Linked DNA regions of Saccharomyces cerevisiae S288C. The gene in region 1 interacts genetically with each later gene. Each region holds a gene or a part of one and is shown on either strand. Other genes may lie near its edges.

Region 1 (3,759 bases):
CAGGTAGACCAAAGGGCGTTAAGGGTAAGTATAAGATGGTTGATGGTGTCATGAAGAATGAACAAAGAGCCCTAAGACGTATCGCAAAGAAGCATCACAAGAAAAAGTAGTAACAAAGAGCATTATTTTTCCATTCCCTTGTATAATATTGAAAATAAAGGAAAAGAAAGCAATAGATATATTATGTATACATAGAATTAATCAAATTATCATCAAAAAACTTATAGGAAACCTATCGTTTTGAATTCAGAAAATACGAGTGCACAGTAGAACAATTTTTATTCCCGTTTTACTGATCTTTTCTTCTTGTTGTTACCAAATACCTTGGAGAAAATGTATATGATGGAGATGAGTAAGCATAGTAACGTACCATTTTTGATCTTGGAATAATCCTTTGTGTCAGGCCTTGGAATTGGTACTAGAAGAGTTGTCGAGTTCAAATGGCGGAATGTAGTATCGTCTGTAAAGAGAGATTCATATCCTAGACCTTTTTTATAAAATGGATTACGGGAAACTTTATTGTCACCTGTGTCGCAGGCTAATATAACTTCTGGATCAAATGAAACTTCTAATTTATCCCCTTTATTATTAGAAGGCTCAATATATCTAGTATGCAATGTCACTTCATTCATTGTGCCGGCTTTCAATTCAAAGATACTTTCAGAACCCCATGCCTTATCTCGAAGAGAGTATTCTGGTAATTCTAAGTCGTCTTCTCCAAAAAGTAGTAAGGGAGAGGATTGGAATTTATCGATAAATAATTCTAACGGCAATTGCAGGTGCATTAGATACATGCATTTAGGGCGTTCTTCGAAATCTGTGAGATCAATCATGATTTTTGGATGCAAACCGATAGGTTCATTCAGATATAGTGATGTCGTAGTCGTCGAGTGATTGTATGCGATATGGCCCTGTTTATACAATAAGGATGTTTTCTGACATCTTTCCATTTTACCATCGTCCATCCTCCAATTACAACGTATTCCACCAATATCGACATCACTTTCATCACTTGCATCCACAAAGAATACACCTACTTCGAGTTTCTCATCTTTCACTCTTGCAATTGTAAATTCTTCACCCTGTTTCAACAGACGATATTCAACAATTTGGATTTGTGTGGGCTCCACTGATATATCATATGTAAAATCTTCTGGATTCCATGACAGATTCAAATCTACTTCGGGAGGCAAGTACTGCTCTATGTCAAACTTCTCACTGTGAAATGAATTGTAGACTGGGTTAGTAATAAACCTTTCCGGCACATCCGAAGAATTTGAGTAAACTGAAAAGCCAGCACTCAGTTCATTTTCTATAACGCTTAAACTTCTAGCCAAGTCCGCTCTGGGCCTCCAAGTGATTCTCGTAAAGGATTTATCCAAGCTTCCAGTCCTCTCTAATAGCCACCTTTGTTGTAAAACCACACCAGAACCTCCACGAACAGTCAAATGAGTGTCATTTTGGCGCATATGATTACCGATATCCTCAGGGGCATTGTAGAGTACAGTCACTCTATGTCTTGTCACCATTACTCAGCTAGAAACGCACACTTCTTGCGTTTATTCTCCTCCCGATTTGATTATGATTAGCGTTTCCATTATTTGATCTTTTTTATCAGGGGGATCTTCAAAGAAAGGAACTTTTTTTAGGAAAAAAAAAATAATCATCTTTTATTACATGTGTAATACTTCAAGCAATCATAAACAAGAGTTAAGAAGGCAAAGTTCTGCTGTTAGTGTGTCCTCCAATACTCTTGCACGACAAAGTTTTAGTTATCCCCTTCTACGTGTATTGTTCCTCCGTGGTCGATTGTGTTCAAAGATTGGGAGCTCTTTTCGTGTTTTGCACTAAGAGCATACTGTTAATCCGCAAAGGCCACTAAAACTTACCTGCATTTGTCTACTTAAAGATACATTCCAACTATTTACATTCATTTTTATTTCTAAAAGAGCATTCTGAACCCTCGGCAATTATTTCATACTCCTTCTCAGAATAGGAAAATGCCCAATACGCATACTCAACATGTGCAAATATCAGAGCCAAATCCTGTAAATACTTTGTCTACACCATCCAAAAGAGGTCACCGCCATCGCAGATCGCTAGCAATATCAGGAGATTTTGATTTTTTGAAACAGCCTGCAGCAATTGTGAATTTACCACCTCCACAGGCGGCTGAAAATTGTCCTTCAACTGCCCCAACTGCTGTATCAAGTACATTATCGCCAATACGCTACAATAGATTTCCTTGCAAAACCAATGAAGACGCTGGAACGTTAGATTTGCCTGAACCAAGATTTTATCCGTTATCACCAAAGAACAATCTGCAAACACCAAGTCCACGATTTTTCATTAGTGAAGAGCCAAGTTTTTCATCGCCAGTTAAAGGCGTCCCAGATGCCATTATTAACCTTGACGATGCGTTGAAGACAAGGCCTAGGTCATTTAAATCACATAGAAGATCTGAATCCGCTCCTCCTGATTTGGAGGTTATGGTAGATAAGGGCAATTGTGCAGCCGGTTCTAACTCTATGATTAAAGAAGAAGAGGACTCCTTAATTGAACCAGAATCGAAAAATGAATATTATGAGCAAAAGCTTCCAACAGCACTATTATCCCCACTGCGGCCTTCCCTTTGTGTATCTGAACAGGCCATTGATGTAGATGATTCAGCTCTCAATGGGTCACCGACCCATCACAACCATGGGATGCAAAACGCCAATGCACGGAATTCCAACACATTCAATTCGTTGAAGATCAAAGGCCAAAAGCAAAGATATTATCATTATACGAAGCAGCTACCTTTGACCGTAGGCTGTGACTCGCAATCTCCAAAAGAACAAAGGTCGGCTGCTTCAATGACAATCAATCAGGCAATGACACCTTCTTCCCTGGCCTATACCCCTTCTAAACTAGCATCTACTCCCGCAACACCAGTATCCTTTTATGACAGCAATGCGGACATTAACTTAGAAAGTGATAATTTTCCACTAAAAGATAACCCTAGATATGCCAAGGATGGTTATCCTAAAAAGTGCGGCAATTCACAGCTTAATCGTGTGCTGGATAGCGATAAAAGACAGGATTTTAGTGGAGAATCGAGAAGAAGAAGATCGGGCAGTCCTATCTCCCACATGCAACACCGCAACCTGATTGATAATATGAAAGGTAGACGAAACAGTAACACGATAAACTCAATCTTCAACTACAAGAGTCAACATTATGAAATGCCATATGATGATATGATGAAAAATGAAAACATTAATGCACAGTCCATGCCCTTTTCAGTCAACGGTGTCAACAATGAAAATAGTATCGGAGGGGTTATTACGAGAGCGGACGATGCACCCCTTCAACACTCTGTGGTCAAATCCTGTACGCCTGATGGCAAGGAAGAAATGAATAGGCTTAAAAGTAATGACAGTAATGAATATTCCAAGTCTGAAGGGCAGATCAGAACCAATTCGCAACTAAGTAAGGACATTCTCATGGGTGAACCAGGTGATATGGTTGATCTGTCCTCTTTTGTCAACGCGCAGAGAAAAGCCTCAAATGAAACTGGTGACTTAGTCTTTAGTTTATCCCAGGATGATGACGCACTGAAAACGTTCCATGCGAGCAACAGCGCAGCAACAAGCAATGAAAGCTGGTGTATTAGCGATGATGCGTTAGGAAAGCAGGCGCAGGACAGTGAAGTTAGGAGGAAAAGAAAATCCAAATTAGGACTCTTTAGACATATTTTTTCAAGGAAGTAATACAACA
Region 2 (3,180 bases), on another chromosome or scaffold:
AACAAAAGCAATCGAATTACTATCCAATTATTTGGAAACACAAAAGACGAAAATAATATTTAAAAAAATAATTAAAAAATTTGTTCTAGGGTCTGCCTCCAGCAAGAGTAACACCAGTAATAGCAATACCAATGGCAATTTCAGATCAATGAATAATGCCAAAAGTCGTACGACCATCGATAATACCAGCCAATCAGGAGCCTCACCACAACGCCACAAAATGCCTGTTATAACGACGGTAGGAGGAGCCCAAGCCATCAAAGGATATATACCAAACACTTATTACAACGGATATGGGTATGGATACGGATATACATACGAGTACGATTATAATTATGCCAACTCTAATAAAGCTCAAACCAATAATAGGCATAAATATCAAAATGGCAGAAAATGAGAAGGAAAAAAGTTCAGTAGTATTGTAACGTTCTACGCACCTTTTCAATGGATATGCACACCACAAAATATGTCATTGCGCATATCCGCATCTATTACAGTATTTGATTGATATTTTACCATACATACTAAAAAGCTCCGCTCCGCTCCTCTTTTACGATAATGATCTTTATAACCTTGTACCTAATGTCTCATTGAGATATATCAATGTTGTATCGAAATCACTAAATACTTTGAAAAGCGGAATCTTTTTCTTTTCGGTTTTATTTAGCTTAGTTAGCGGACTAGAAGTAGTTTTCAAATGAGAGAATTTGACGTCAAGCTCATCATGGCCTATTCCTCTATGCAAAATCGATCTGTACTTTTCATATTGCATTGTTAAAAGGTTCTTTAAAATTTGCCTGCAATATGTGTTGTCCCTTGCAATATCCCACTTTTGAACTTTTGTTTCGGGCAAGTATGAACAGCTCTTCAGAACAAATTCCAAGGTTCTTTGCATCTCAGTCACGGGGAGTATCCTTTCACAACATTTCGTGTTGCTGAGAAGCTCAAGATTGATTTTCGACCTCAAGCCATCAGGATTGAATACCAAGTATCGTTTGAGTTCGTAGTTTTCTTTCATAAACTTATATCGAACATAATCCCTGTAAGTATCTTTAACCATTTTCACATTCGATATGAAAGGCTTAAGCCTCATAAATCGGCGGTAAAATAGCTTAACAACTGTACTTCTCTCAGGTGAGTCTGCATCTAGCTTTTGAAAACGTGAAGGAAGTTGGTATTTAGAATGCGATTTAATAAGAGTATAGTCTGGAGTTATAATAGCTTTTGCTGTTGTTATCGTAATAGAAGGCTTACGCATTGTGTTATCCGCTTAACTGCGATTAACATGCATACGTATGATATACTCGAGCTAGTCTCATAAGCTTTCTTCATATATGGTTGTCATGGCAAACTTCGATGTTCGTCGATAGTGACAGGTTCCAAAATTTTTCATTCAGCTCATCGCATATTTTGGAAATTCAAACAATGATTAACAACCGATGTGTGAATTAATCTGCGAGTCAGTTAGAATAAAAGATCATTAGGGCCGATAATAGCTACGTGGTGGGAAGGCTGGAATAATGGTTAAAGTAAAGTCGAAAAAGAACTCATTAACAAGTTCTCTAGATAACAAGATCGTCGATCTTATCTATCGTCTCTTGGAAGAAAAAACTTTGGACAGAAAAAGGTCTCTGAGACAAGAATCCCAAGGAGAAGAGGGCGAGAACAACGAGGGTGAAGAAGATGAGGATATATTTGAATCCATGTTTTTCGCTAAAGATTTAACAGCAGGTGAGATTTTTACCTTTTGTTTGACTAAAGATTTATCACTTCAAAGAGTTAAGAAAGTTGTCTTACAAAAGACAATTGACCGCATGCTAAAAGACGTGATTGAATCAGAATTGGAAGAATTTGGTTCTTACCCAGGTTACAACAACGAAGAGGAAGAGAAACCAAGCTTGGAAGAAGAACTAGCTAAGAAAAATATGATGATTGAGCGAGACACAAATGAGATGAACAAACGCATAACTAGCACGTGGTCCAAATCTGGATCTGTTTCCGAGTCTATAACAGAAACTGATGATCCTAAGACAGAAGAGGTTAAAAAATCTAAAAAAAGATCCAAAGAAGGTACATGTAAGGTAAAACGTCAAAAAATCAAGGAAGATAGATCTCCACCTAATTCGTCTCTGAAATCCTTAGGTGGTATGGATGATGTCGTTGCACAACTTATGGAACTAATAGGTCTACCCATTCTTCATCCAGAGATATTTTTATCCACGGGTGTCGAACCACCTAGAGGTGTTCTGTTGCATGGCCCACCGGGTTGCGGTAAGACGTCGATTGCTAATGCGTTAGCTGGAGAATTACAAGTCCCATTTATATCTATTTCTGCACCTTCAGTCGTAAGTGGTATGTCTGGGGAAAGCGAGAAAAAGATTAGGGATTTGTTTGATGAAGCGAGAAGCTTGGCACCATGTCTTGTTTTCTTTGATGAAATAGATGCCATTACACCAAAACGTGATGGAGGAGCCCAAAGAGAAATGGAGAGAAGAATAGTTGCCCAATTATTGACCTCAATGGATGAATTAACGATGGAAAAGACAAATGGAAAACCTGTTATTATCATAGGTGCCACGAATAGACCTGACTCTTTGGATGCAGCATTGAGAAGAGCAGGTAGATTCGATAGAGAAATATGCCTGAATGTCCCGAATGAAGTCTCAAGGTTACATATTTTAAAGAAAATGTCTGATAACCTAAAAATTGATGGTGCTATCGATTTTGCCAAATTGGCAAAATTAACCCCAGGCTTTGTTGGCGCTGATTTAAAGGCTTTAGTTACTGCTGCCGGTACATGCGCTATTAAAAGAATTTTCCAAACCTATGCTAATATAAAATCCACACCAACTACGGCAACGGACAGTTCAGAAGATAACATGGAAATTGATGAAACAGCAAACGGAGATGAATCTAGCCTGAAGAACACTGCGAATATGATCGATCCGTTGCCTTTATCCGTAGTCCAACAATTTATTCGTAATTATCCTGAGCCTTTATCAGGAGAGCAGTTATCATTATTATCGATTAAGTACGAAGATTTTTTGAAAGCGTTGCCAACAATTCAACCAACAGCAAAGAGAGAAGGGTTCGCTACGGTACCTGATGTTACTTGGGCTAATGTAGGCGCATTGCAAAGAGTTAGACTTGAATTAAATATGGCTATTGTGCAACCCATCA
Region 3 (3,759 bases), on another chromosome or scaffold:
TCAAAATAAACCAATGGCAACTACCAATTGATTACCACGTAATATTTATATATGTATCTATATATGTTTTTATGCATCAATATCAAGTGTTTTAGAGAACAGCAAATTATGTTTGATATTTCCATTCCACTATATTATAGAACGTGAGAAGCAAATAGAAAACTGTGAAATAAAGTAGACTTCAAATAAATAAGTATAATATTTTCTCTATTATAGATATAAGAAAATTAAGAAATAGAAAGAAAGCTAATTTGGTTCCACAAAGGCTCTATAGGTAGTAAACGCCTCATCTTCAGCTTCCAAATCAACAGGCAAATGTGGAGCGATGAAAAAGACAAAACCGGGTTCAGCTTTCAATTTTTGGCCATCTGCTTTAATGTAACCATTACCTTTTGTAGTGATTAAGATACTTGGACCATCAACACCTTCAAAATGCCTTTGACCAAGTTTCTCATCAAAAGTAGTCTCCAATACAGCAAATTCTTCGATTGGAGGGTTATATAAAACTGACTTACCGTTACCAGAGGACCTGTCGAACTTTAAAGGCTGCATTTTTTGCTTTTCCACAGGATCATATGTATAGGTTAACATGGAGACCAAGTTTTTAACATCCTTGAATTTTGGAGTGAAGCCTGCTCTAACTACGTTGTCAGAAGCAGCCATACATTCCATAATATCACCGCTTATATAGGCGTGAGGATCCTTAGCTCTTAAAAAGATGGCTTCACCAGCATTCAATCTGCAGTGATTCAACAATAAACATCCACAAAACAAACCCACGTCATCAGGGAACTGTTTATTCAGTCTTTGAATTAATTCTGGTAAATCAGGTTTGTTAAAGTCTGATGGAGAATTCTTTGATCTTTCGACCAAGGAGCGAGCTTGAATCTTGATTTTGTCATCCGAAGCGTTCATGACCCTGCTGAAAACAGCTTGCAATAGCTTTTTGTTTTGCTCATCTTCTGGGGAACCTTTCTGAGCAGAAGGTTGAATGTTCTCAATAAAATTCCTGGAAGTTTCTTCACCAACAATGTTGCGTAATTCAGGAATACGTTTCAATTCATCTGCAATCTCTTGCAAAGGTTTGAACCCGCAGAAACCTTCAAAGTCAGTCACAGCGATGGCCATTTCAGGTTTGTGATTATCATCAGGATAGTTCTTAGGATCTTGAGCGTGCAATATTTTACCCAAGGCTTTGTCGGGATGTGCTTGAATAGACAAGACTTTTTCAATGGACAAAACTTTGAAAAGGAAGGGCAATTCATTTGTGGCGTGGAACTTATCAATAATGTCCTTACCTAACATGGCAGAGGGGTTCTTGGAGATGATATCTCTCAGGGATTCCTTAGACTCATGGTTGTAGGAAGGCATCTTGCTGTGGGTACCCATCCATAACTCTGCATATGGTTTATCTTGTTCAATTTGAACAGAGGGGTCAGAATGGGCAGCAAATTGAGCGACAGCTGAAGAAGAGCCGATTTTACCCCAGTCGTATTGTTGGTAGCCTACATAGAGTCGTACGCGTTAGTTAGTGTACCAAAAAAAAAAAAAAAAAATACTCAAAGTATTCAAAATATTTGACGAAAAATGGCACATACCTGCATCTAACCTGAACAGCTTGTTGGACATGTTTTAAAATTTTCTGGTCTGATGTTCTTTACGTGTTTAGTGTTGAATGATTACAAGAAACAAACATTTTATACAGAAATATACTAAGATTGCGACGTGTATATTTAAATACGTAAATCGCGGCGAAAAAGGACACGGACGCGACAAAAAATTGCTACAATAACCAAGCAGCACGAAATGGATAGTGCACCACGAGACTTGGCATGATCAAAGTGCAAAAGAAAGCAGAATAACAAATTACTCCCGCAAAGTACTAGCTATATCAGGGAACGACTTTATTGGCATCTTGTTGTAGCAAGGTTTTCATGATTCTCATCCTTGCGCTTGTCGCGCGGCACGATGCCAGTGCGGAGTTTCCGCGATATGATGTAACTGCAGCTGTTGGTGGCGAACTTTGCATAAGATCGACCTCCTACTGATGAGAAAGATAGGATGGATTATATAGAAGAGCACAAGCAACGATGAATGGGTTGGTATTAGGCGCTACAGGTTTATGCGGAGGCGGGTTTCTGAGGCACGCACAGGAGGCACCCCAGTTCTCTAAGGTATACGCGATCTTGAGAAGGGAATTGCCCTTTCCGGCCACTGATAAAGTTGTGGCCATAGTAGAAAGGGATAATTCAAAGTGGTCACAATTGATCACCAATGAAATGAATCCGCAGGTGCTATTCACCGCACTGGCAACGACAAGGGCAGCTGCAGGCGGTTTGGACAAGCAATACAAGATCGATCATGATTTAAACTTACAATTGGCCCAGGCTGCCAAGGAAAAAGGATGTGAAACGATCGTTCTCGTTTCTTCCGCTGGTGCTCATCCGGACTCCAGGTTCGGCTACATGAAGATGAAGGGCGAGATTGAACGCGATGTTATCGCTCTTGATTTTAAGCACATTATAATTTTGCGCCCAGGCCCTCTCCTTGGTGAACGGACAAATTCTAAACAAAGCGGATTTGGCGGCAATCTGACTGCTGCTTTGGGCACTCGCGTGTACCGTTCTAGATTCCAGAGGTTGCTAGGCTATCCAGTTTATGGCGATGAGGTAGGAAAAGTTGGTGTTCATTTGGCGTTGAATACTTCTGGGAAAGACAAGGTTCAGTTTGTCTCCAGCAAGGACATTCTTGACATCTCAGCTTCTCTGGAGAAGATTGCTACCTAAATCAACCAACGGCTTCTTCTCGCAGCTACAGTTGTATTTTACTGTGACGTACTTTTGCGCGCGTACGGGTTCAATGAATTACGGATTTTCAACAACTTCACACAATCATAGCTTTTTTTACTTTTTCGCCTCATTATTTTCTTTAAAGAAACGATGATAAACAGAGATTTATCGTCATGTTATTTCGTTCGTATATATCGTATTTGCGTTTTAGCTGTATAAAGTAAAATACTATATCTAACGTGGCTTTTTTTATTTCCCCGTCTGCCCTCTTATGCTCATAGAAAACACTAATGATCGGTTTGGTATCGTCATAGATGCAGGGTCTTCGGGTTCGAGAATCCATGTGTTTAAGTGGCAGGACACGGAATCGCTTCTTCATGCAACAAACCAGGACTCACAGTCCATATTACAATCAGTACCTCATATTCATCAAGAAAAAGACTGGACTTTTAAGCTGAATCCAGGCTTGTCGAGTTTTGAAAAAAAACCTCAAGATGCGTACAAATCTCACATCAAGCCGTTACTAGATTTTGCTAAGAATATTATCCCTGAATCACATTGGTCGAGTTGTCCCGTTTTTATTCAAGCAACCGCGGGCATGCGCCTTTTACCTCAAGACATACAATCTTCCATTTTGGATGGTTTGTGTCAGGGGCTCAAACACCCTGCAGAATTTTTGGTTGAGGATTGCTCAGCACAAATTCAAGTCATTGATGGTGAAACCGAAGGTTTATATGGCTGGCTTGGCTTAAACTATCTATATGGACACTTTAATGACTATAATCCAGAGGTCTCTGACCATTTTACATTTGGGTTTATGGACATGGGCGGTGCCTCTACTCAGATTGCGTTTGCACCGCATGATTCAGGAGAAATAGCTAGACATAGAGATGACATCGCCACCATCTTCTTGAGGAGTGTTAACGGAGATTTGCAGAAATGGGACGTTTTTGTTAGTACGTGGTTAGGG

Evidence for each region.
Region 2: mutations in LRE1 (region 1) and IRC19 together harm fitness more than expected from each alone (negative genetic interaction), as found in Saccharomyces cerevisiae (one large-scale study listed by BioGRID).
Region 3: mutations in LRE1 (region 1) and PMI40 together harm fitness more than expected from each alone (negative genetic interaction), as found in Saccharomyces cerevisiae (one large-scale study listed by BioGRID).

What each region holds. Positions count from the first base shown.
Region 1 is NC_001135.5:33,865-37,623, forward strand, and holds LRE1 (Lre1p), read left to right. Parts: upstream 1-2,000; coding exon 2,001-3,752; downstream 3,753-3,759. Other genes in the region: SPB1 (27S pre-rRNA (guanosine2922-2'-O)-methyltransferase), read left to right, coding at 1-110; PBN1 (Pbn1p), read right to left, coding at 279-1,529. UniProt on the Saccharomyces cerevisiae protein: Overexpression affects chitinase expression, cell separation and budding pattern, and increases trehalose accumulation and heat resistance by inhibiting protein kinase CBK1.
Region 2 is NC_001144.5:71,487-74,666, reverse strand, and holds IRC19 (Irc19p), read right to left. Parts: upstream 1,259-3,180; coding exon 566-1,258; downstream 1-565. Other genes in the region: YLL032C (uncharacterized protein), read left to right, coding at 1-397; putative AAA family ATPase RIX7, read left to right, coding at 1,521-3,180. UniProt on the Saccharomyces cerevisiae protein: Involved in sporulation and maintenance of the mitochondrial DNA. Is probably involved in a pathway contributing to genomic integrity.
Region 3 is NC_001137.3:157,490-161,248, forward strand, and holds PMI40 (mannose-6-phosphate isomerase PMI40), read right to left. Parts: upstream 1,630-3,759; coding exon 1,599-1,629; intron 1,506-1,598; coding exon 247-1,505; downstream 1-246. Other genes in the region: NOP16 (Nop16p), read left to right, coding at 1-9; FMP52 (Fmp52p), read left to right, coding at 2,091-2,786; YND1 (apyrase), read left to right, coding at 3,061-3,759. UniProt on the Saccharomyces cerevisiae protein: Involved in the synthesis of the GDP-mannose and dolichol-phosphate-mannose required for a number of critical mannosyl transfer reactions.